Linked DNA regions of Arabidopsis thaliana. The protein of the gene in region 1 interacts with the protein of each later gene in a pairwise test. Each region holds a gene or a part of one and is shown in the gene's direction. Other genes may lie near its edges.

What was found.
Region 2: the proteins of RGL1 (region 1) and IAA8 interact in binary tests that used the Arabidopsis thaliana proteins (3 or more experiments, as listed by UniProt).
Region 3: the proteins of RGL1 (region 1) and LUH interact in binary tests that used the Arabidopsis thaliana proteins (3 or more experiments, as listed by UniProt).
Region 4: the proteins of RGL1 (region 1) and IAA2 interact in binary tests that used the Arabidopsis thaliana proteins (3 or more experiments, as listed by UniProt).

What each region holds. Positions count from the first base shown.
Region 1 is NC_003070.9:24,745,639-24,750,992, forward strand, and holds RGL1 (RGA-like 1), read left to right. Parts: upstream 1-2,466; 5' UTR 2,467-2,688; coding exon 2,689-4,224; 3' UTR 4,225-4,548; downstream 4,549-5,354. UniProt on the Arabidopsis thaliana protein: Probable transcriptional regulator that acts as a repressor of the gibberellin (GA) signaling pathway. No effect of the BOI proteins on its stability.
Region 2 is NC_003071.7:9,634,668-9,640,222, forward strand, and holds IAA8 (indoleacetic acid-induced protein 8), read left to right. Parts: upstream 1-1,712; 5' UTR 1,713-1,970; exon of another isoform or gene 1,971-2,140; 5' UTR 2,141-2,209; coding exon 2,210-2,230; exon of another isoform or gene 2,231-2,438; coding exon 2,439-2,956; intron 2,957-3,053; coding exon 3,054-3,283; intron 3,284-3,379; coding exon 3,380-3,521; intron 3,522-3,607; coding exon 3,608-3,669; intron 3,670-3,748; coding exon 3,749-3,792; 3' UTR 3,793-4,078; downstream 4,079-5,555. UniProt on the Arabidopsis thaliana protein: Aux/IAA proteins are short-lived transcriptional factors that function as repressors of early auxin response genes at low auxin concentrations.
Region 3 is NC_003071.7:13,864,123-13,872,892, forward strand, and holds LUH (LEUNIG-like protein), read left to right. Parts: upstream 1-2,649; 5' UTR 2,650-2,804; exon of another isoform or gene 2,805-2,917; 5' UTR 2,918-3,006; intron 3,007-3,089; 5' UTR 3,090-3,112; coding exon 3,113-3,144; intron 3,145-3,218; coding exon 3,219-3,316; intron 3,317-3,403; coding exon 3,404-3,513; intron 3,514-3,594; coding exon 3,595-3,875; intron 3,876-3,970; coding exon 3,971-4,049; intron 4,050-4,152; coding exon 4,153-4,321; intron 4,322-4,509; coding exon 4,510-4,559; intron 4,560-4,644; coding exon 4,645-4,923; intron 4,924-5,394; coding exon 5,395-5,469; intron 5,470-5,588; coding exon 5,589-5,816; intron 5,817-5,994; coding exon 5,995-6,139; intron 6,140-6,220; coding exon 6,221-6,330; intron 6,331-6,471; coding exon 6,472-6,621; intron 6,622-6,703; coding exon 6,704-6,856; intron 6,857-6,932; coding exon 6,933-7,052; intron 7,053-7,253; coding exon 7,254-7,451; intron 7,452-7,578; coding exon 7,579-7,722; 3' UTR 7,723-8,035; and 1 more. Other genes in the region: GRP23 (glycine-rich protein 23), read right to left, coding at 1-417. UniProt on the Arabidopsis thaliana protein: Transcription repressor subunit of the SEU-SLK1 and SEU-SLK2 transcriptional corepressor of abiotic stress (e.g. salt and osmotic stress) response genes, by means of an epigenetic process involving histone modification (e.g.
Region 4 is NC_003074.8:8,179,491-8,183,951, reverse strand, and holds IAA2 (indole-3-acetic acid inducible 2), read left to right. Parts: upstream 1-1,856; 5' UTR 1,857-2,005; coding exon 2,006-2,439; intron 2,440-2,531; coding exon 2,532-2,883; 3' UTR 2,884-3,306; downstream 3,307-4,461. Other genes in the region: AT3G23020 (Tetratricopeptide repeat (TPR)-like superfamily protein), read left to right, coding at 4,209-4,461. UniProt on the Arabidopsis thaliana protein: Aux/IAA proteins are short-lived transcriptional factors that function as repressors of early auxin response genes at low auxin concentrations.

The sequences.
Region 1 (5,354 bases):
CAAATCGAACACATGACTTCTAAAATCTCTACGTTTTCGGTGATCAAAGGGATTTACCACTAGAAGTGCCAAGTTGACGGTTCTTGGGAATGTAAACTCTACTTCTAGGTTATGTTGGATATGCTTTCAGGAGGAATCTATGACCCTATTGCTAGGATTTAAGTCCCATCGCAAAAATATTACTCTGCTCATTTTCTTGAATTTCTTATATGGGCTATGAAGACCATTCTATCAAGTGCACTCACATGGTAGAAACTAAAGTCGGATCTCTGAGCTGATCATGATAACGCAATACCCCTTTGAGTGGCTCCACTTTAGTGGACTATTGTTTTCTCTTATTGTACTTTAGGTCCTCGTGAATTAATCTCTCGGACGAAAGTGTTTAGCATGTAGTATTTTAGCCCATTATTTGGGTAACCAATTAATGTTTATTCCCTTAATGTATTGGTGATGATAAAAAGAGCAAGTAGACTACTAAGTTCTTACCAACCAATAACCGAAGGTACCAAACGATTCGAAATTAAAAAGAACGAATAATACTGATGAAAACTGTTGAATTAAACAATGTCATAGAATATAGTCACTTAATTATGACTATTTCTCTTTCAAGGCACTAATCATCCTTGTAAATCATCATACTTTCCAACAAGTATTAGTAAACAAAACCTACTAAACTAAAATAGAACCTTAATTTTAATTATCATTGTTTAGACATTTTTACATACATGTTTTGAGGAAAAGTCTCCTAACTATCATAATGATCAAGTCTAGTCTACTATTAATAGCAAAGAAATTAAAGAAACTATCAAAAATATTTGGACCTAGACATCAACATCTAACAGTATAACCTAATCAATCAAAGTAACAATCTTGGTTCGAAATGAGGATATGCATTATGTGAAAAGGGTCATTGTAGAACTATGAAAAATGGTTATGCATATGGGGAAGCTTAAAAATGTTTTATGATTGCATGTATCTTTCTTAAAGCTCATACCGAAAGAGCTCCACATCTAATAATGGTCGTAACCACACAGTATTTTATTTATTCTCCATCTATCGCCTTTTGAACATGTCTAAAACACAAGTATATAATAAAAATGCGTATTACAACACAAAAATATATAATACTAATATCGCTAATAAGAATATAGAATGATATTATTATATATTCTTGTTGGGTTATTTTGACGACAGTTCTTAAGTCAACTTAATTATTTTTGCAAAAGACATTTTTGCACGTTAGTTGTAATTTTTTTTCGCAACTAAAAATATATGCAAATATTTTACATAAAACATCTTTTGCTTTGTTTTGTCAATCTCTTATGCTTACACTACTTGATAGTCATTTCTTTGAGGAAGAGCGCCAATCCTACAAAAAAAGTAAGAAATATTTATTGTTACAAAGGTGATTCGAATTCGAGTGATAATTTCACAACGACGCTTACAAGAATAGCTAGATTTCATGTATTTTCCGATTACCAATTTTTTTTTGTATCAACAACAACATGCATATGAGTTTGAACTTCGACGGTGTCACATCAGCTCTTGCACACTAGCACAAATCACTAAATTACGTTTTTAGTCAATTAAAAATAATAAAACATATACAAATATGACCACAATCATAATACTACAATTGAATGGCGATGATATAAATTCAATTTTTGTATTAGTAATACGGTTTGAAAATCTACATTCGAAATGTGAAACGTACAATGCCATCATTATGCAAAAAAAAAAACAACTTTCAAACATTATTCTATATGAAATGGAGGAATTGGTAAAAATAGAATTCATTACATCACCTAAAGATTAATCACCCGATAATATAAAAACAGAAAACTAAACAAGATTTCCCTGAAATTTATAGTTTAATATATTTTCTTATGAACATAATGAATTTCTTTATTTATTCTCATTTATGAAGATGATATAAAAGTTTGAACAATAATCACAACACAACACATAAAAAGTAAATCTCCTAATCACCAAAAACTATAAAAATGAAATGTATGTTTTTGTAGTTGAAAAAAGGGTGGTGGTTGGCTTTAGAAATTGGACTTTTAACCTAAATGTTTCTCTACAATACAACTTCCAAATCATAACCGTTATTTAATATTACACCTAGTCTTCATCAAATAATCAAAATCACAAAATAATCAAATATCAAAAACAAGTTGTTATAGTTTTTAATCAAAATAATTATGACATAGCATAGATTATAGAATATCTCGTTCAAATAATGATGTCAGGTTTACATCAATCAAACTGAATTTTCTCGAGAAGCATATTTTGAAAATTAAAATTTATTCGCAGAAAAAGAAGAGAAAGGAATCTACTATTATTTACTGTATATTATATAAAGAGGAAAATAAAATAGGTAAATAAATTTCCTTTTATAATTGCTTTAGATTGCGGTTGTACCACGGCTCTGCTCTTGCTTTTAAGAACTTGCCGGTACTAAATTTCATATACTCCAATTAAAAGCTAGCTCGAAACCCCAAATGTTATTTTATTTTTCTATATAATAATAATCATACATTATAAAAAAAAATCATATCATTATTTAAAAATAGAATTTTATTTTTCTTTCTTCTTCTTCAATTATTATGACACTCCCGTGTTCCTAATCTTTTCTCTTATTCTTCTCTTTCTTCTCATCTTACAAAATCTTGCAAATCAATTTTAATGAAGAGAGAGCACAACCACCGTGAATCATCCGCCGGAGAAGGTGGGAGTTCATCAATGACGACGGTGATTAAAGAAGAAGCTGCCGGAGTTGACGAGCTTTTGGTTGTTTTAGGTTACAAAGTTCGATCATCCGACATGGCTGACGTGGCACACAAGCTTGAACAGTTAGAGATGGTTCTTGGTGATGGAATCTCGAATCTTTCTGATGAAACTGTTCATTACAATCCTTCTGATCTCTCTGGTTGGGTCGAAAGCATGCTCTCGGATCTTGACCCGACCCGGATTCAAGAAAAGCCTGACTCAGAGTACGATCTTAGAGCTATTCCTGGCTCTGCAGTGTATCCACGTGACGAGCACGTGACTCGTCGGAGCAAGAGGACGAGAATTGAATCGGAGTTATCCTCTACGCGCTCTGTGGTGGTTTTGGATTCTCAAGAAACTGGAGTGCGTTTAGTCCACGCGCTATTAGCTTGTGCTGAAGCTGTTCAACAGAACAATTTGAAGTTAGCCGACGCGCTCGTGAAGCACGTGGGGTTACTCGCGTCCTCTCAAGCTGGTGCTATGAGGAAAGTCGCGACTTACTTCGCTGAAGGGCTTGCGAGAAGGATTTACCGTATTTACCCTCGAGACGATGTCGCGTTGTCTTCGTTTTCGGACACTCTTCAGATTCATTTCTATGAGTCTTGTCCGTATCTCAAGTTTGCGCATTTTACGGCGAATCAAGCGATACTTGAGGTTTTTGCTACGGCGGAGAAGGTTCATGTTATTGATTTAGGACTTAACCATGGTTTACAATGGCCGGCTTTGATTCAAGCTCTTGCTTTACGTCCTAATGGTCCACCGGATTTTCGGTTAACCGGGATCGGTTATTCGTTAACCGATATTCAAGAAGTTGGTTGGAAACTTGGTCAGCTTGCGAGTACTATTGGTGTCAATTTCGAATTCAAGAGCATTGCTTTAAACAATTTGTCTGATCTTAAACCGGAAATGCTAGACATTAGACCCGGTTTAGAATCAGTGGCGGTTAACTCGGTCTTCGAGCTTCATCGCCTCTTAGCTCATCCCGGTTCCATCGATAAGTTTTTATCGACAATCAAATCAATCCGACCGGATATAATGACTGTGGTCGAGCAAGAAGCAAACCATAACGGTACCGTATTTCTCGATCGGTTCACGGAATCGCTACATTACTATTCGAGCTTATTCGACTCGCTCGAGGGCCCGCCAAGCCAAGACCGAGTGATGTCGGAGTTATTCCTAGGACGGCAGATACTAAACCTTGTGGCATGCGAAGGAGAAGACCGGGTAGAGAGGCATGAGACTTTAAATCAGTGGAGAAACCGGTTCGGTTTAGGAGGATTTAAACCGGTTAGTATCGGTTCGAACGCGTATAAGCAAGCAAGCATGTTGTTGGCACTTTATGCCGGGGCTGATGGGTATAATGTGGAAGAGAATGAAGGTTGTTTGTTGCTTGGATGGCAAACGCGACCGCTTATTGCAACATCTGCGTGGCGAATCAATCGTGTGGAATAAAAATAAATAATGGGAAAAGTGAAAATGTGCTATATACTTTATTGCATTGCTGATAAAGAAAAAAAGTCCCACGTTTTCCAAATTTTATGAATTCTAAATTTTGTTCACTTGTCACGAGATTTTGACCTCGCATAAATAGACTATTACGTCAGGGTCAGGCCAATGAAATGATTTTTTATCACTTGTTCTCATTAAGGTAAAAAAGGTCTTTTCTATTTCATCTTTGGTTTTCGATAAAATTAAAATTGAATAAGAGATGAAATAATGATATATATAAGGTGATAGTCTGATAGATATGGATAAATGTTTCATGACACGAACCAGTAGTCAAGTTCTTTTGAGAATAATCCTAAGACCATGGACTTTAAATAGATTGGTTAAAGGGTCATTATCTCTTTAATTAAGGAGGACAGTGGTGTGTTTAAAATGTATTTGTGCTCTTTTGACGTTGATTTAATTAGTACCCACCGCCAAATAATATATGAGCATTCCTGTTATCGCATGTTGACATCATTTTAAGAAAATGATTTTCGTAGGTAACATTTTGTTGGTAATCAATTTAACAACTACCAATTTTATTACTTTTAGAAGAAATATGCATGAGCTGACATAATTATACTGTACATAAGTTCATAAGTTTCTGTCGGTAGAGAGGTTTGTTCATCAGGAATTCGTAATGACGCAAAACATAAATTTGTCTTTAGAAACTTTATATGAATATATAAATTTGGGAAACTATTATAAATCCTCATAAATTTTAACAAATTTTCAAATACTTTTACCTTTCTAAAACTTTTATATGTTGTTTCTTATAACTTACTTACACAATTTTGTAACAATTTTCCAAGTATAACCAGAATTGTTTTGGTAATAAAACCTTCCTCAGAATATGTTCTTGGAAACGAGATTTTAATTTGATGGGCATCATCATTCTTCGACACTACAACCATTTTAAAATTTTGTTTTACTCGTTGAAAGTATTTTCTTTTCAATAATGGTGCATTCTAGGTTTGATTAAATTGTGAAGTCCAAACCCAAGCCCAATAAGGGAAGTTTGAGGCCTAACCCAACTCCTAATATAAGTTTCTCGTGTGTGTAATTCTATGATATTACCTTTTTACGATAATTTA
Region 2 (5,555 bases), on another chromosome or scaffold:
TTTTAAAAGAAGTAGAACATCAGATATGTGGGATTACTTTACACTAGAAGATGAGAATAACCTCGTGATTTTCCCGCCAAAAAAACGTAACCTCGTGATTTTCCCGCCAAAAAAACATGACCCCGTGATTTTCCCGTCACAAAACGTAACCTCGTAATTTTACCGTCTAAAAATGTAAACTCGTAAAAATTTCTGAATCAATAAATATCTCAAATTTAATAATAATGAATTAATGATGATGATAATTATTTATTATTGTTTTATAATAATAATTAATTAAATTATTATTTAAATGGTTAACCCATTTAACAACTCAACCCATCAAATGAAATGAGTTATGGGTTAGACCCAACTCATTTAACAAAATGAGTTGGGTCAACCCATAACTCATTTAATCATAAACTCATTTGATTATGAGTTGGGTTGGGTTGGGTTACCCATTTTGACACCCCTAGTAACAACAGAATGAATTTTGTTTATAGAGACAAAAAAACATGAAGTAATGAACATTAAAAAAAATCTTAGTAATATAATGGGTTCTCTAATATAATCTAACCTTCGAGTGAGAAAAAAATGAACATAAAAAAAAGAAACAAGAACAATAAAAAGAGTGGGAGACAAGAGGGTGATAAATGGTATAGCTACGGGACGGTGACGTATGATGTGAAAGAAAGGAAGAGCGCGGGTGATGATGGAATTAGGTGACAGGCATGTGAACAACAGTGAAGCTGCAAAGCCTGATTTGGTTGTTTCCCTTCTCTTTAAGCGTGCTTCCAACGTGTCTCTTTGATCATGACCTTCTTCTTCAAATATACAACTCTTCACTTCTATTTTCATTTGCTCTCATTTTCACATTGATTGTGTTCTTAGAATTTTGTTCCTCGTGCAATCTCCTCACTAGTTTAACTAAATAATTATACATTGATTTTTGTTGTGAGTCTACTTAAATTATGGTATCTATTATTGTACATTTCATAACTATACCACACCAAAAGTAGAGCATATTAAGCAGCCGGCAAAACAAAGTTCAATTGCTGCTTTCTTGTCTCTCTCGTATCATCACTCTCCTTTGCTAATTGCTCTCAGCCCATAATTATAAACGAGTAGAAGAATATTTAACACTCTTTTTCGTAAATTTTCATTTTTTACCACTTGTTAAATGCTCTGTCTTACTTTTTTTTTATCCATTGTAATTTTCATTGGCGGTATGCATATTTTTAGACAGACAAAATTTAAACCGATACGTGGTCCCATAACTATTGAAACTCTGATTATAATGGAAAACATATTAAATTTATAGGTATTTTAGACCACTCAGCCTCTTAAATATTGGATGGTCCCATTTCTATCTAAATCATTTTAACAACAACAAAAGAAAATATACCATAAAACAATCTGATTTGATTTTACTTATTGCTAAAACCATATAATAATTTTAATAAAATATAATAAACACACGCATGTTATTTGTGGACCTACAAAATAAAATAAAAAGAATAACAGAGACAAAAAAAAGTCATTTCAAATATATAAATCAAATTAAAATTAATAATATTTTCATGTTTTTTTAAGCTTCCTTACAAAACAGAAACCTGAAACCATGTTACCTATAACAACGACATGTATTTATTATTATTTCTCCATTAGATCTAACGACTCAGAATCACTCTCACTTACTCATTCTCAACCGTCAGATCTAACTACAGTACTCCACACCACATACGAACAAACCTAATCTATCCTTAATACCCTTACTTTTGTAGTTTATTACTAAATTTACCACTCCTTCCATGTTTTTGTTTCTCTCTTCTTCTTGATTGTTGCGCTTTTGTTAGCTTTCTCTGGTTCATTTTCCATGGACGGACCTTGACCTCTCTGCTTCCCTTCGTGCATTTTCTCTCTCTCACTATCCTCTCTCTTTCTAGTGTTTGTTTGATCCTCTGCGTACTCTGTTCTTCTTCTCTCTTCAGGTACTAGTTTCAATTTCTCTAAAAGGAACTATTGAAACCTCCTTCTCTAGTTTCAATTTTCAATCTGGGTTTGTTTGTTTGGTTCTTGTAGCTTCTTTGGATTCATTATCATTTGGGTTTAGTTTATTTTTCTCGTAAGTAAGTGATTTAGTTGTGATTCTGAATTTTAGGGAAATGCTGAAGAAGTTAGAGTAAGAAATTTTTGGTTTTTGAATGGAAAGTGATTGATTTTGGGGAAGATGAGTTCTGGGAACGATAAGGTTGAATTCTGGCTATGAAACCTAGGTTAAAGTTTCTAACTTTATCTTACTTGTTAAGCAAATCTAACCCAATTCTCATCTGAAACCCTAATTTTTCTGGGTTCTTCTTAAAATTGAGAATTTTGTTCATGCATCTATAGAAAGTGAAGATTTTTATGTAATTAGATTGATTTTGGGTTGTTCTTCTTGTTGTTGTGATGCTAAGCAGATAAAACAAGTCCTGCATATTGAAGATCTGATGTCTTATCGATTGCTAAGTGTGGATAAGGATGAACTGGTTACGTCACCTTGTTTGAAAGAACGTAACTACTTGGGTCTCTCTGATTGTTCCTCTGTTGATAGCTCAACTATTCCCAATGTTGTTGGGAAGAGCAATCTCAATTTCAAAGCTACTGAACTGAGGCTAGGTCTTCCTGAGTCTCAATCTCCTGAGAGAGAGACTGATTTCGGTTTGCTGAGTCCGAGAACACCCGATGAGAAGCTTCTCTTCCCGTTGCTACCTTCTAAAGACAATGGTTCTGCTACTACAGGGCATAAGAATGTTGTTTCTGGTAACAAGAGAGGATTTGCTGACACTTGGGATGAGTTTTCGGGTGTGAAAGGATCTGTTAGACCTGGAGGAGGAATCAACATGATGTTGTCGCCGAAAGTTAAGGATGTCTCGAAGAGTATTCAAGAAGAAAGATCTCATGCTAAGGGTGGCTTGAACAATGCACCAGCTGCCAAGTGTGTATTATATGATGATTTGTTTATGAGTTTGTTTATGAGTTTGTTTATGAGTCAAGAACGAATCTTGTGGTAATCTGTGTCTATTGTTTTGCAGGGCACAGGTTGTTGGTTGGCCTCCAATCAGATCATACCGGAAGAATACAATGGCTTCTTCTACTTCGAAGAACACTGATGAGGTTGATGGGAAACCTGGTCTTGGTGTTCTGTTTGTGAAGGTGAGCATGGATGGTGCTCCGTATCTGAGAAAGGTCGACTTGAGAACTTACACTTCCTATCAACAGTTGTCTTCTGCACTTGAGAAAATGTTCAGCTGCTTCACCCTTGGTGAGAATTTACTATGTATTTAAGCTAATCATTGATTCTACTGTAAAACAGAATGAACCAAAGAACAGTGATTTCGATTCTTGTTTGTGATCTCAGGTCAATGTGGTCTTCATGGTGCTCAAGGGAGGGAAAGAATGAGCGAGATTAAACTGAAGGATCTTCTTCATGGATCAGAATTTGTGCTTACTTATGAAGATAAAGACGGTGATTGGATGCTTGTTGGCGATGTTCCATGGGAGTAAGCTTCTTTTGGAACTCTCAGCTTTAATAACTGTGGTTTTGTTTCCGTTCAAAAGTTGAATCCTTGTTAAAACCTATTTGCAGGATATTTACTGAAACATGCCAGAAACTGAAGATCATGAAGGGTTCTGATTCTATTGGCTTAGGTAAGTTTTCCAACATCTTTCCCCCTAATCTGAATACAAACTCAATGGCTCATTTCATTGTTGATTTATTCTGTGGCAGCTCCAGGTGCAGTGGAGAAATCGAAGAACAAAGAGCGGGTTTGAAACGAAGATGCTCAAGACAAAAAAAAAACACTATGCACAGTTCCAATGTTTAAGTTTTATTTACTGATGTGTTTGAAAACTCTTTAGTCTTTTTACTAATTTGTGTTGTAAGACTTTGGATTCTCTTATTTGTGTGTGCTTGTTCAAAACAAATACATTCTTATGTGTGTGTTTCTACTTTGACCTTCAAGATATTTCGTCTCTACGCAAAATCTTGATTTGTTTATTGTTAGCACTTAGTACCAAAGTCTATAAGTGATAATTACGATAAAGAACCTTTAACCACACAAAGTGGAATCTCAAATGATGGTTATTATCTTTAAAACATGAAAGTGTGTAAATCTGGATAAGCTTTAGACTAATCGCAATAGTGTCTTCTACAATATTCTTACAGATTAAATACTAGAAGAACAAAAAAAAAATGTAACTACATATATATATTTTTTTTGTTTTCGATTTTTTTGTAACATACATATAATAACGTATAAAGAAGACTGGTGAGTAGGAAGAGTAGATAAATAAACCTCACCTTACCGAAATAGAGGGCATATCAAATACATGTGGAGCAAGAGTGGATGAGATAGAGAGAAAGGAGAACATTTATGTAGTGAGCAAAATAGAGTTTGACAAATTTATAGTCTCATACTTCTAATAGAGGTAGATGCTAACATAGCTACCCAAACGAAGGAAAGATAATAAAAGAATGTGACGCATAAAAATTTGAATTTTAGCAAACTTCTTTTGAGAATTGTGAGCTCTGTTAACTCGTATTTGTAAATTTTTTTTTTACTAACATCTAATTTTATTTATCTTTGAGCTCCAAATTTATCCACACTATTTTATTTTATAGTAAAGTTTCATAAACTAAAACCAAGATTTATTTTTGTATTTGCAATTTATGTGTTTTATTTTTCTGATATATAAAATACAATACATGTATTGCTACAAAATATATATAGTTCTCACTTTATATGAAGTTAATTTTTTTTCTTAAATGTTAGTATTCATATTCTAATTCCCTCTTCCCTACATCTAAAAGAGTATTAATTTTCTTTAGATATTCGACATCAGCTGTCAAATTAGTCTTATCAAATGGGACTCAGTGATTTGCACAAATGTAGCACTTCTAAATGAGTTTGTGGTTAGTGCACTTCATCGTTGACTTTATTTTCAAATTTGATTGTTTTGCTATTCGTAAGAACAATTATATCAGTCACAGTCATATGTCTTGTTAATGCTTTTCTTTCATATGAACCACTAATTCTTTTTTTCATTGATCAAATTAATTTTAGAGAAGCTTATGATATTTGACTTTGGTAATAATACCAATACTCAAAGAGAGTAGCGAGGCCTAAACGTTAACATATTATTTATTCATTTTTATTTTATTTTTCATAATTTTATATCAAAACATTGGTTATAAAATATATAAAGTTATAAATGTCATCTATTTGAATTTATTATATATATTCACACTTGGTTTATATGAAAACTAGAATAGTTCAGTCCTAAAAACATTTTAACAAAAAAAAACTAAATTTTTTGAAAATAGTTAATTCATAATTTACAATTTTAGTAATCAAGTATTTTTTATTTTATTTTTGATTAATGTTTTTGACTTACTGAAAATTATGTTTTGTATAAAACAAATCAGACACTTAAGCGGCTAATTTTACTTAAAATTGGGCATTCGAAGGTTCATGAACTCCTAAGCGGGTGTCTAGTCGCCGCCTAAACCGATTTATTGAACATTGAATGCTACA
Region 3 (8,770 bases), on another chromosome or scaffold:
ACCACCCAATCCACCTCCTCCTCCTAAACCACCACCACCACCACCTCCTAGACCCCCTCCTCCTCCCAAACCGCTACCGCCTCCTAGACCCCCTCCTCCTCCCAAACCGCTACCGCCTCCTAGACCACCACCGCCGCCTAAACCTCCACCACCGCCTAAACCTCCACCGCCTCCTAGGCCACCACCGCCTCCTAGACCACCTCCGCCGCCTAGACCGCCTCCACCGCCCAAACCCTTACCGAAACCTTTCTTGTAAATGCCATGCTTGTGGAGGAATGGACGAGGTTTGTGTAAAAATGGACGAGGTTTGTGGAAAAAGTGTTTGTCGTCGTTAACCTCAACATTTCCGAACGAAAATTCAGCGACTAGAGCGAATACAAAGATAAACACACACACCTTCCCGGAAATTAAACCCATAATTAACTGGTTCGTTTTATATGGTGTATATGAAAGAGAGATCGAAGACAGTAGTTGTGTCAGTGAAGCTTAGTCTTGACCTCTATATATAGACATATCGTCCACTCGTGAGTACGTTACATACATAACCGGTTTTGCTTCTTCTTTTTCTAGGTTTCTTATCAATTCCGGTTTAGTTTAGTTTGTTGATTTGTTCATATATACTCAAATTATTCTATTTCAGAGGTTGAAATGCTTGGTTAAGGCGTAACCGTGAGGAAAAGTGGGAAACCGGAATTGATTAAACCGGACGTATTAACTTGTAAGAAGGCGAAAAAAATAAATTGGTTGAGTAAACTAAATTAAATGAGGTTCACCTGTCATAGGACAATTTATTTATGTCTGCCAACTGCCCAGTTGATCTCATCCAACATAACAATAAAAATGAAATCAATGTACATTTGATGAATTCAATAAATAAATAATATCGATGTATATATATATGCACATGAAATGAAATGTATATCTTATTTCCGATTAAGAAAATGAGCAAACGATTCTAGTGGGCGCCGATGGTGAAAAAACCTGAAATTGATGAAAATATATACTACAATTGGTTCATGTACTTTGTCAAATAATAATAATTGGTTCATGTTCTAAAAACCAGACTGATCATATTCGTAGAATGCAATCATCAGTTCACCATATGTATATGATTCCTCATAAATCAACCTTCCATGGATTTATAGCAAAAAGAACAGTGTGTTTCTCTTTTAGTGTATTTTCATAAAAGACGTACCATAAATGAATAAATTGTGTCGTTATCAAAAAAACAAAAGTTTATAATCGTGGCTGTTTTATTTTTCCTTTTATAGTTGAAGGACATGTCTACTACAAAGCCATTAATAATATGAGGGCTCTTTTGCATTATTCAAGCCCTAAATGTGATCTCATTTAGTGAAAAAAAAGTGATCTCATTTATTATGTCATTAATGGCTCAAACCAAACACATATTAAACCTTTCATTTTCCAAACTAACAAATAAAGAAAAACAGATAGGCTTATACATTATACATGCATCACCCACATAGATTTAGATTATTAAAAATTTGAGGTTGACTGGTTTGAGCTGTGAATGTAATCTTTTATTTAATTTGGACTGTTTGTTGTTAGAATAATGGTTGGGACTTAAATTTTAAAGTCAACTAGTGATTTGAAAAAAAAACGAGGCTTAACAAGAATATTTAACTAGTTAATCTAGGGCTAACTTGTTAGTAAGAAATTTAAGAAATACGTTTAATACTTCATAACACTACAAGTGTGGATTGTTCATTTCACATCATAAAGTACTAAAACTTCAAATTAAGTGCCAAATGAATATCCTATGCATTTTTTTTTTGTAAAAAAATTAGATTGGTTCTATTGAGAATATGCATGCAATCTTTTGGTTACAGACCTCTAGTTAAAGGATTTTAATTAGTTCTTATTTTCTATTTAGAATTTGAATTAGTTTCATAAAACATATGCAGTGATCAGTTTATAAGGTCAAATCTCACCCTCAAAATACAAACATATTTCACGAGTTTGCCCAAAAAGAAAGAACTAGTATTTGACGCAAGTTTTCATTTTGAACCATTCGTAAGCTATAACTAGAAGATTAAATACGGTAGAATAATGAATGTATTATGGGAAAAATGTTAAAAAAATCGCCAACTTTTAAAAATGGGACAAAAAAATCGCCAACTCCTGAAATGTCATTTAAATCATATACTTTTGGTTGACTTTTCCAGAAAGATAATAAAGCAAAGATTCGTAATCAACAAAACTTTGCTCTGTTATCTTTCTAAAGAACTCAATCAAAAGTATGTGATTAAAACGACATTTCAGGAGTTGGTGATTTTTCATCCCATTTTTCAAAGTTGGCAATTTTTTTGACATTTTTTCCAATGTATTATTGAGTGTAGCTACATGAAGTATGAACCATTTATCTTGACATAGCATTGCGTACTTTGAAAATAATTTCTTTACTAATAAAAAAACCTACACTTTTTTTTATAATAAATTTTTTCACTCTGTTTAGAAACCATGAATTGGCTGCTCTAACGATTCAAGAGAAATTTCGGCCTACCTTCGAGTTGACTTTAGATTAAAAGTCAATCACAGGCCCAAAAGTAAGCCCATAACTAGGTCCAAATATCGAAGCCCATGAATAAACTTTTTCATCGAATCCTAAAGCTAAGCATCAAACCAAACATCCGATGATCTCTCCAAACTCATCAATCTGATCTATCTCTCTCTTCCAGCTGTTTCATGATCGATTTACTCTTAACTTACAGCTGATTACAATTCACTGTAATCTCTCAAGAACCCTAGATTCTTTTTTTTCCTTTTCAATTGTGATCCGTCAGGTATGTGAATTCGATTACTTTCTATATCAATTCAACGAATTCCAAAAGTCATGTTCGCGTATAAGCAATTTAACCTTGTCGATTTCTTTATATTTTCTCTGTATGTGTAGCAGCAATGCTTGATCTTTAAATTTACTGATATCTGAAGATCGAATTAGGGTTCTGATCTACTTGATATTTATTTGTTTGGGCTTTTATTCAGGTTAGTGTCTGTTTATTAAAACAATCGAATTATTCTGAGTTCATATCATTTCTTTGGATTGAAGATTTGAATTCCTTTTATAGCAGCTCGATCTTGGGCTGAAGCTATGGCTCAGAGTAATTGGGAAGCTGACAAGATGTAAGTTAATTTTGTATTCAATAAAAGCTTATTTTTTTTCAATTCCTTACTTTGATATCTTTGTGTTTTTGTAGGCTTGATGTTTACATATATGATTATTTGGTGAAGAAGAAACTTCATAATACTGCTAAGTCGTTTATGACTGAAGGGAAGGTTTCTCCTGATCCAGTTGGTAATATTACACTTTCTTTGTTCCACTTTGTTCTTTCTTAATTTTAAGTTTTGATATGTAATTGTTTTTTGTTGTGTGAATGATTAGCAATTGATGCACCTGGAGGGTTTCTTTTTGAGTGGTGGTCTGTGTTTTGGGACATTTTCATTGCAAGGACGAATGAGAAGCATTCAGAGGCTGCTGCAGCTTATATAGAGGTGAATGTCTTCTACTAACATCTGGGAATATGTTTTGTTAGTTTTGAATTACGTAACTGACCAGTGGTTTTGAAATTTTAGGCACAACAAGGTAAAGCGAAGGAGCAGCAAATGCAAATACAGCAACTGCAGATGATGCGCCAAGCTCAAATGCAGCGTAGGGACCCTAATCATCCTTCTCTTGGCGGTCCAATGAATGCTATTGGTTCTGAAGGGATGATTGGGCAGTCTAATGCTAGTGCTTTGGCTGCTAAAATGTACGAGGAACGCATGAAGCAGCCTAATCCTATGAATTCTGAGACATCCCAACCTCATCTTGATGCAAGGATGGCCCTTCTTAAATCAGCAACAAACCATCATGGGTAAATTGGCTCAGCTTCTTTTTTGCTGTCGTTTTTCTAGTCCTCATACCTCTGACCCCTTGTTGTCCTTTCTTTTTTTTTCTGTCCCTAAACAGTCAGATTGTCCAAGGAAACCATCAAGGAGGTGTTTCGGCAGCGCTGCAGCAAATTCAATCACGAACTCAGCAGCCCACTGTAACTACTACTCGAGCACCTTACTTTATACTGTTCAAATTTTCTAACAGACAAGTCTCCAATCAGATATTTTGGTGTACATCTGAATCTCTTGTACGTGCAGGAAATCAAAACTGAAGTTAATTTGGGTACATCTCCAAGACAACTGCCAGTGGATCCTTCTACAGTTTATGGCCAGGGAATTCTGCAATCAAAGCCTGGGATGGGGAGTGCAGGTAAATATATCAATGTATTGCATTGTAGAGTAATCGCTCACCGAAAAGAAAATGGTGGTAAAATACGTGGTAGTATGCCTTCTATGGCAATTAGTTGACTATGGACTCCAAAATTTAAATATTACTTCCCTGTTATGTGCAAAATCATGATGAATTACATAGGGTGATATGCTAATGGCATCACGAGAATCTTTTGCTTACAATTTGTATAAATTCTTATGGTGTTGTGTTTGTCCCTTGTGAAGGATTAAACCCTGGAGTGAGTGGTCTTCCTTTAAAGGGATGGCCATTAACTGTAAGTCTCTGTGGTTCTTCTAAGAATTTATTTGTTTGTCATTCCAAGCCCAGTATTTTGCTAAGTTTCTTGACAAATGTTACAGGGCATCGAGCAGATGCGACCAGGTTTAGGAGGCCCTCAGGTTCAGAAATCTTTTCTACAAAATCAAAGTCAATTTCAGCTCTCGCCGCAGCAGCAACAACATCAGATGTTGGCTCAGGTTCAAGCGCAAGGAAATATGACTAATTCACCCATGTATGGTGGTGACATGGACCCTCGAAGATTTACAGGATTACCTAGAGGAAACCTTAATCCGAAAGATGGCCAACAAAATGCAAATGATGGATCTATAGGGTCCCCCATGCAGTCAAGTTCGTCAAAGGTAAGACTTTCTCAAATTACCAATAAATGCATATCCCTGTTGGATGCAGTGGAATCTGTTGAGCTGCATTATATCATCTTTTTCGGGTAGCAGAGAAAAAATGAAGCATCTCATTTTTTCTGTGTTCCGTTAAGTGGTGTAATTGGATCATTACGTCTGTCCTTCTATGCATTTTTTCTGATAATTGCTCGTCTATGCTTTAAAATTGTACTCTTTTGGGTTATCGTCTGACTGCTATACTTTCCATTTGGAAAATGTGTAAGGTAATGTGTTTGTGTTATCCTAATGTAGATCTACATAGGTATCAGAATTTTGTTTTTTCTTGTTAACCACATGAACCCAATAATAGAGAAAACTTATCCGCAATTAGTAGCTGATTACTACCAAACATGGGGACTTTACTGCTAAAATTTTATCAATCACATTTTTTTCTTCTGATTTTCTCTCTTTCCGTTGCTTGTTGGTCTATAGCATATCAGCATGCCGCCAGTACAGCAATCTTCTTCTCAGCAACAAGATCACTTACTATCCCAGCAATCACAACAGGTACTTTTATGTGGATCCAATCCCTCAAGTCTTATCAAGCATGTGGTTTTAACCAACTGAATATATTCTTTAGTGTCTGAGATGATTGAGCCACAACTTCCTTTTCGTGTATCTGATAGAACAACCGCAAAAGAAAAGGGCCTTCCTCTTCTGGTCCTGCTAACAGCACAGGGACAGGAAACACTGTTGGCCCATCCAACTCACAGCCATCGACTCCGTCAACGCATACCCCTGTTGATGGAGTTGCTATAGCTGGTAACATGCACCATGTGAATAGCATGCCAAAAGGGCCAATGATGTATGGTTCTGATGGGATCGGTGGTCTTGCATCATCAGCAAATCAACTGGTATGTTTCTTAATTTCTCAGAAGAATGATAACGACAATCTAGTTTTCCTCCAATAACATCTGGATACAGCATGCAGTTGTGTTGTGTGAAACAAGTGCTTTCTTAGCAGCTTGAATATTTTTTTTATATCCCATGGGGCCGTGTTTCTTTCAGCTTTCTTATGACAAGAATTAATAGCTGCAGGATGACATGGACCAGTTTGGAGATGTGGGAGCTCTAGAAGATAATGTAGAATCATTTTTGTCCCAAGATGATGGAGACGGAGGAAGCTTGTTTGGCACCCTAAAGCGGAACTCTTCTGTGCATACCGAAACCTCAAAGCGTATTCTAACACCCCAAGGATAAGTATGATACAAGTAGACGATATAAATATATACTAACACGGTCCTTTTTCTCGTTTCAGCTTTCAGTTTCAATGAGGTTAGTTGTATAAGAAAAAGTGCCAGTAAGGTCATTTGCTGTAGCTTCTCATATGATGGGAAGTTGTTGGCTAGCGCTGGACATGATAAGAAGGTGCAACTTCTTAATTTCTGAGATACGGTTTGCTTATAAACTTGTCATGGCCCTAAAACAGCTATAGATCATTTATAGGTAGGTAACATTTTGTTTGTTTAAAAACAGATAATGTGGATGCAAATTTATTTTTGTCAGTAGGTATTTATATGGAACATGGAAACACTACAAGTTGAGAGCACTCCGGAAGAACATGCTCATATCATCACAGATGTTCGCTTCAGACCGAATTCAACTCAACTGGCAACGTCATCATTCGACAAAACAATCAAAATCTGGGATGCTTCTGATGTATACTAATTTAATTTGTTTCTCTTTTATTTGTTGCAATTTTTCGTGTTCTGCTGTGACTAACTACTACCAATTTGTGCAGCCTGGTTACTTCCTACGAACAATTTCTGGTCATGCTGCACCTGTTATGTCCATTGATTTTCATCCTAAGAAAACCGAGCTTTTATGCTCCTGTGATAGCAACAATGATATTCGCTTTTGGGACATAAACGCCTCTTGCGTTCGTGCTGTAAAGGCAAGCCCCTGACCTTTTGTATGGTTTCTCTGGGATGTGAACTCTGTTTGCTAATCGTTGAATTTTCCAAGCACAGGGGGCTAGCACGCAAGTACGTTTCCAGCCAAGAACAGGACAGTTTTTAGCTGCAGCGTCAGAAAATACTGTGTCAATTTTTGATATTGAAAATAATAACAAACGGGTCAACATTTTTAAGGTAGAGCTGAAGATGATATATTGATATTTTTGAATTCCCCGGGTCAATCCACATAAAAGACTAAAAGCTTTGTTTTTTACTTTTAATACTTTGAATCTTCAAAGTCCAGTGCATTTTTCTTGTTAGATGCATTGGGGCATATGTTTAGATGTCGTAAGTGTTGATCGTTACTCATGGCTTTATTTACTTTTGATCTGGCAGGGACATTCCTCAAATGTACATTCTGTTTGTTGGAGCCCAAACGGAGAGTTGGTGGCGTCTGTTAGTGAAGACGCTGTAAAATTATGGTCACTGAGTTCAGGAGATTGCATCCACGAGCTTAGCAACAGTGGAAACAAGTTCCACTCTGTTGTTTTTCACCCTAGCTATCCCGATCTCTTGGTCATCGGTGGCTATCAGGTATAACCTATATCCCCATTTCTCAAACAAATAATGTGTCAAACAATATCTAGTCTTATGTTCAAATGTGTGATGAGGTGAATGTGTCTCTCAGTTGTTTTAACTTTGGTAAACGAATCTGTGACAGGCTATAGAGCTGTGGAACACAATGGAGAACAAATGTATGACGGTAGCAGGCCACGAGTGTGTGATCTCTGCCTTGGCTCAGTCGCCTTCGACGGGAGTGGTTGCGTCTGCAAGTCATGACAAATCCGTAAAGATTTGGAAGTAGAAATATTTCTATGTTCGTCTGAAAAGAAAAGGAAAAAAGAAGAAATAGCAGAGAGCTCAGGACTTTTTTTGGGTCTAATTTTTTTTTTTTTTTTAATGTTACATTAATAAGTTGGTTTTTTTTTTAAATTGGGTTTGTTTATGTCAAAAGCAAAGAGACTTGTGATATTTCCAATCTTTGTCTAATGATCCTACTTCTTTACTTCGTTGTTTTGATCTCTAGTGTTTAGAGTGAAAGAGAGATGTAAGTAATTTCTCTAGACCAACTACATTGTTGAATAATAATTTCTTATAATCAGCCAAACGCTTGTTTTTAAGGTCTCTTTACGAATATCTTATAATGACACTGCATACATTAAGTTGGTTTAAGATGAATACAAAACTCTAAGCATGCACATTGAAAGTACTCGTACGTTAAAACTTAGGATTAAGGATGAGTTTATTATCTGCTTAGGCTTAAATTGTCTTTGTTCTGGGTTACTTATTGAACTTCTAATATAACCGCATCTTTCTTGAATGACTCTGCCTCTCTTTCAAAATTATTTGTTTCAGCATCACTGTAACATTTATTGTAAAAATAGTTTTTTTGGGTTTGAATAAATTTAACTTTCAACTCAAAAAAAAAGAAAAACTCGATATTATATATAGAAAACGGAAATGTGAAACATAAGGAGAAGTAAAAAGCACGGTTACGTTTGTGTTTGTTTACAATTTACAAACACGTCTAACTTGGAAAAACTAAAATAAATGTACTTTTTTTTTTTTGGTCTAAAATAAATGTACTTTTTTCTTAAACATGAACTTATTTTTTGTAACAGTTGAGTGGTTGAATGAATCATTAATTTAAGTTATCTTTAGTTTCTCAATCGATAATATATACCTACTCAAACCTTTATACAATACTATAAGATATAAAATACTCCTACTCCTTCCCAATTCTCAAAACTGCTTAAACTTTCATAATCATCTAACTCTTGTAATTTATATAATCTAGTCATTAGATTCATCAGTATATTCTCAATATTACAAAGGCTAAATATCTTATGCTA
Region 4 (4,461 bases), on another chromosome or scaffold:
TAATTAACATTTTTACCATGATAATTAAAACACGGTTAATATTTCTAACCAAAAAAAATTAAGAATCTATTAGCTAGTTCATATAGTTATTCACGTACCTCTTCAAGATATGTACGTTAAAATTGTCATCAGAATCTGTAGTCCTTGTAGAGTAAAAAATATCAAATATTAACATAAAAGAACAAACAACTGTTGATTCAGTACATAAATTAATACATTAAATTGACCACAGAGACCAAAATAATCTAAAAATGATTTATGTATTTGGCTTAAGTTCAATATTGTTTTTTAGGCAAAACTTAATGTTCAATATATATTCATGGAATTAACTCCATAATAAACAGTAACTGAATTCTCTTGTACTTTCTTAAATGGTTTTCAGTAAAAAGGTTTAGTTTAACCAACAAATAACTTTAGCAATCATCTATATAAGCATAAAGCATCACATAGATCTAGTAGTTATGTTTCTATAATACATTTTCACTAAGACTAAAACATGCATGAACACACAAACAGGAAAAAACTATTCTCAAGAAGTTTGTTTCCCACCATGTTAAGTGATTCTAGAAATCTGTAAATGGTTAACCTTTAGTATTCATTCGTGCAATATTTAACAGACAAATGGTATTCATTCGTGCATCTCTCAGTTTGTGAGAAAATACATTGCATGAGTTCGTTATTAACTGGAAATAATACATAAAACTCTGACAATCAGAACCTCTAAATTATTTACTTATAAGAAGAGAGGCAACGTATCTTGCATCGCTTTTACTTATCTAATCTTTTGGTGATGGAAGGGGCAAGAACATAGAAGGAATCTTTATCTTAAAAGAAGAGAAAACAAATAATATCCAAAATTGGTAAATCCATTGAATAAAGCCTAACGTTAACATCAAATCGCATGCGGATTAGAAGCTAAATGCACATAGTTAAGCGTAATCTATGGGGAGAAATTAATTACCACTTTTTGGTTCATTCTTTTAAGTTTTATGATTCAATGAATACATAGCACGTGGAACCTCTCTCCCCCACAACCCATTTTGAAGGGAAATGAATAATTAAAAGAGACATACACATAAGAAAGCACATGGCTTTACCATTCCTCTATCAATTACCAACACATTTGACCCTTATCCACATGGGTCTTCGTCTCCTATTATAAAATCAAAATCTACACACAAAATGTTATAACATTTTCCAACTCACAATATACAAAATGCCACGCATAAATATGTCTTCGCAAGACAAATATGTAACGTTTAATATTCGATATTATCTGAGATTTAACCATAAAACTAATATTTCTTTATTAATCAAATTACATCTACGAGCAAAAATGATAAAATTCAACTTATGCACATTCAATAGTTCGTAACACATAAGAGTACTTGGAAACTCTAAATAATCTTCATTTTGGAATCAGGATTCAATAAAATAGTACTTTATTTGACATAAGTGTCCTTTTAACCATTTTTTACACCATACGTTTTTTCTTCTGAATCGAAATTTTTACATCATACTTTCAAAACATCTATTAATCTTTTAAGTTAAAAATTAATAAATCAATAGAAGTAAACTAAAAATAATAATCAACTTTCACATCAAATTTTAAGACAACACATTATATTTAAATATATATTAAGAATATCTATTATGCAACAAATGGATTAACAATCATTAGCACTTGATATTTTCTTTATAACCTGCACTATACACTTTCAAAAAGAGAAGAAGAAACCTTTAAGAAACAGTAAATAAATGTTATTATAATACACCTCTTTAGTCTTTACTTTATTTATATTTTCTCTGTTTGCTTTTATTCCGGGTCGGCCGATAGAATTCTCATCATTTCATTCATTTTTATATTCTTTCGTTATAATTATTATACATCCTTTGAAAGAAAAAGAAGAGGCAATAGAGATGGACGGCTAAGATGTTAACGTAAACAAAGTTGGCGGAGGGAAAAGAGGAGCGTGGAATAATTAAACAAAAGAGTCGTGTCCACATGGGCGGCCTCAAGCTTCGTGTCCCACTTTTGTCCCCTTGCCTCTTTCTTGCCTTTCATGCTTCCGACAACACTTCTCTCTCTTCCTTTAACCCTAACTTCGATGCTCCTTTATATATATCTCTCTCCCCTTTTCTCCAAAACTCATCAACCAGCTCACCAAGAACAAGAACAAGAAGAAGAAGAACAAGACAAGAAGAACAAAGTACCCAAGAAAACACACAAGAAGGAAACACAAAGATTGATATTGATCCAAAAGCAATGGCGTACGAGAAAGTCAACGAGCTTAACCTTAAGGACACAGAGCTATGTCTTGGATTACCCGGAAGAACAGAGAAGATCAAAGAAGAACAAGAGGTTTCTTGCGTTAAAAGTAACAACAAGCGTCTATTTGAGGAAACTCGTGATGAAGAAGAATCTACACCTCCTACCAAGTAAGTAGAAGAGATCTGAGTTTCAAATTGGCTTCTTTCAAATTATTGGCTCTTGAATAGTTTTACTAATCTTTCTTTCCTCAAATTTACAGAACTCAAATCGTTGGTTGGCCACCAGTGAGATCTTCCCGTAAGAACAACAACAGTGTGAGCTACGTGAAAGTGAGTATGGACGGAGCTCCTTACCTTCGCAAGATCGATCTCAAGACATACAAAAACTACCCCGAGCTTCTCAAAGCGTTAGAGAATATGTTCAAAGTCATGATTGGTGAATATTGTGAGAGAGAAGGATACAAAGGATCTGGATTTGTACCAACATACGAAGATAAAGATGGTGACTGGATGTTGGTTGGTGATGTTCCATGGGACATGTTCTCTTCTTCTTGTAAGAGACTCAGAATCATGAAGGGATCCGACGCTCCTGCTCTAGACTCTTCCTTATGATCCAGAGAAGCTGAGAATCTTTTGTCTAAAAAGGAGATGATGACTATGATCGATGAATGAAAAACCCTTTTTGGTTTGATTCGGATCGGAGTTTGACTAAAGTTGACCGTGAAAGACGAAACTTCGGGGTTTTGTCCGACGAGAGATCCATCTCTAGTGATGTTCTTTTTGTTTTTGTATTTAGATTTGAAGTTTGATGTAAAGATACATGAGATTTTATGTATAATACGGACACATACACAATCTATAGATGTATAATGTATTAAGTAGTTATGTCCTATAAGATCATCAGTTTTCTGTTCTTGATCACGAACATAATATTTTAAATTTCAGAAACTTATACACATTTGTTTAGCCAAGGTTATTTATTAACTTTTTTTTTTGTTTAAAGTTTAACCAAGGTTATTATTTACTTATTCAGCAAAACATTTACCACCACATGAGACAAATTTTCTATAATGCCTTCCCAAAACACATCCACAATTCTATAGATAGGCCTTGTCGATCAAAAGATTTCAAAAACAATTTTTCTTTTTGATGAATTGTAAATGACTCTGTCTCTTCAGCTTATTAGATGTTTTAGCTAAACTGCAAGAATTATTATGTAATAATTTTGTTATATTAAAAACAGAAATTAATATCTAACCTAAACAATTCAACCAATTGTAAAAAAATATTACATAATAATATAAGTCTGATAACATATGAAATTGAAAAACACAATTTAATATAATAAAACTGAGAAAATAATATTAGTTTTTCTAGGGTAAAGGTTATTAATATTACATAAAAACATAATAATATTAATAAAACACAATTTAAGATTATAGATTTTTAGACTACAAAAGGGCTCATGGGAAGTTCTCGAACCGGAACTGAACCAAAATACCGAACGCCAATGACTAGTTTTCAAGTATGTTTTTTTCATTATGTGAACCAAGTAATAAAAAATCATTTCTCTTCTAATAGGGTTCTTATGTGCATATGATCAAGGTTTTGGGATTATTTGGAAATCAAATATATAAAGAGTTGTTTTCTATAAATAAATAAAACTTCAGGAGTTTACAGCTTTTTATTTCCTTTAAGGGCTTAAACTATTACGAAATTATCAATTTAATCCTCAAATGTATTCTCTTTCCAATCGGACAAAGGACCTTTGCGCGCGCAATTTTATCCATTAGCAACAACGCCAGAAAAAAATCTCGTCAGAATTTTACAGAGAATCACGTTCGCCGGAGAAGTATATACCACCTTCGTCGCAATTGGCGGTGCAAATTCTTTTCCTTTTCTCTAGTGAATAAACTAATGCTCGTTGCAGTTGAAAAATGTTGTTGAATCTTCGTCTAGATGGAAGTAGCTTACATGTTCTCTGTTCTACAAAAACCTTACCGATTTCTTCGCCTCTCGATAAATTCCCATCTTTCAAGAAATTGAAGCAGAATTACGTACCAGGAACTCACGAGAGTGACAAAGGACCACAGAGAAGCACCAGAAATGGCGACAGAGGTTGTGGTACCGTTGCTCATGAAGTTGTCGCCGGAAAAAACTTACTTTTAGTAAACCCAAGTAATGGTTGCG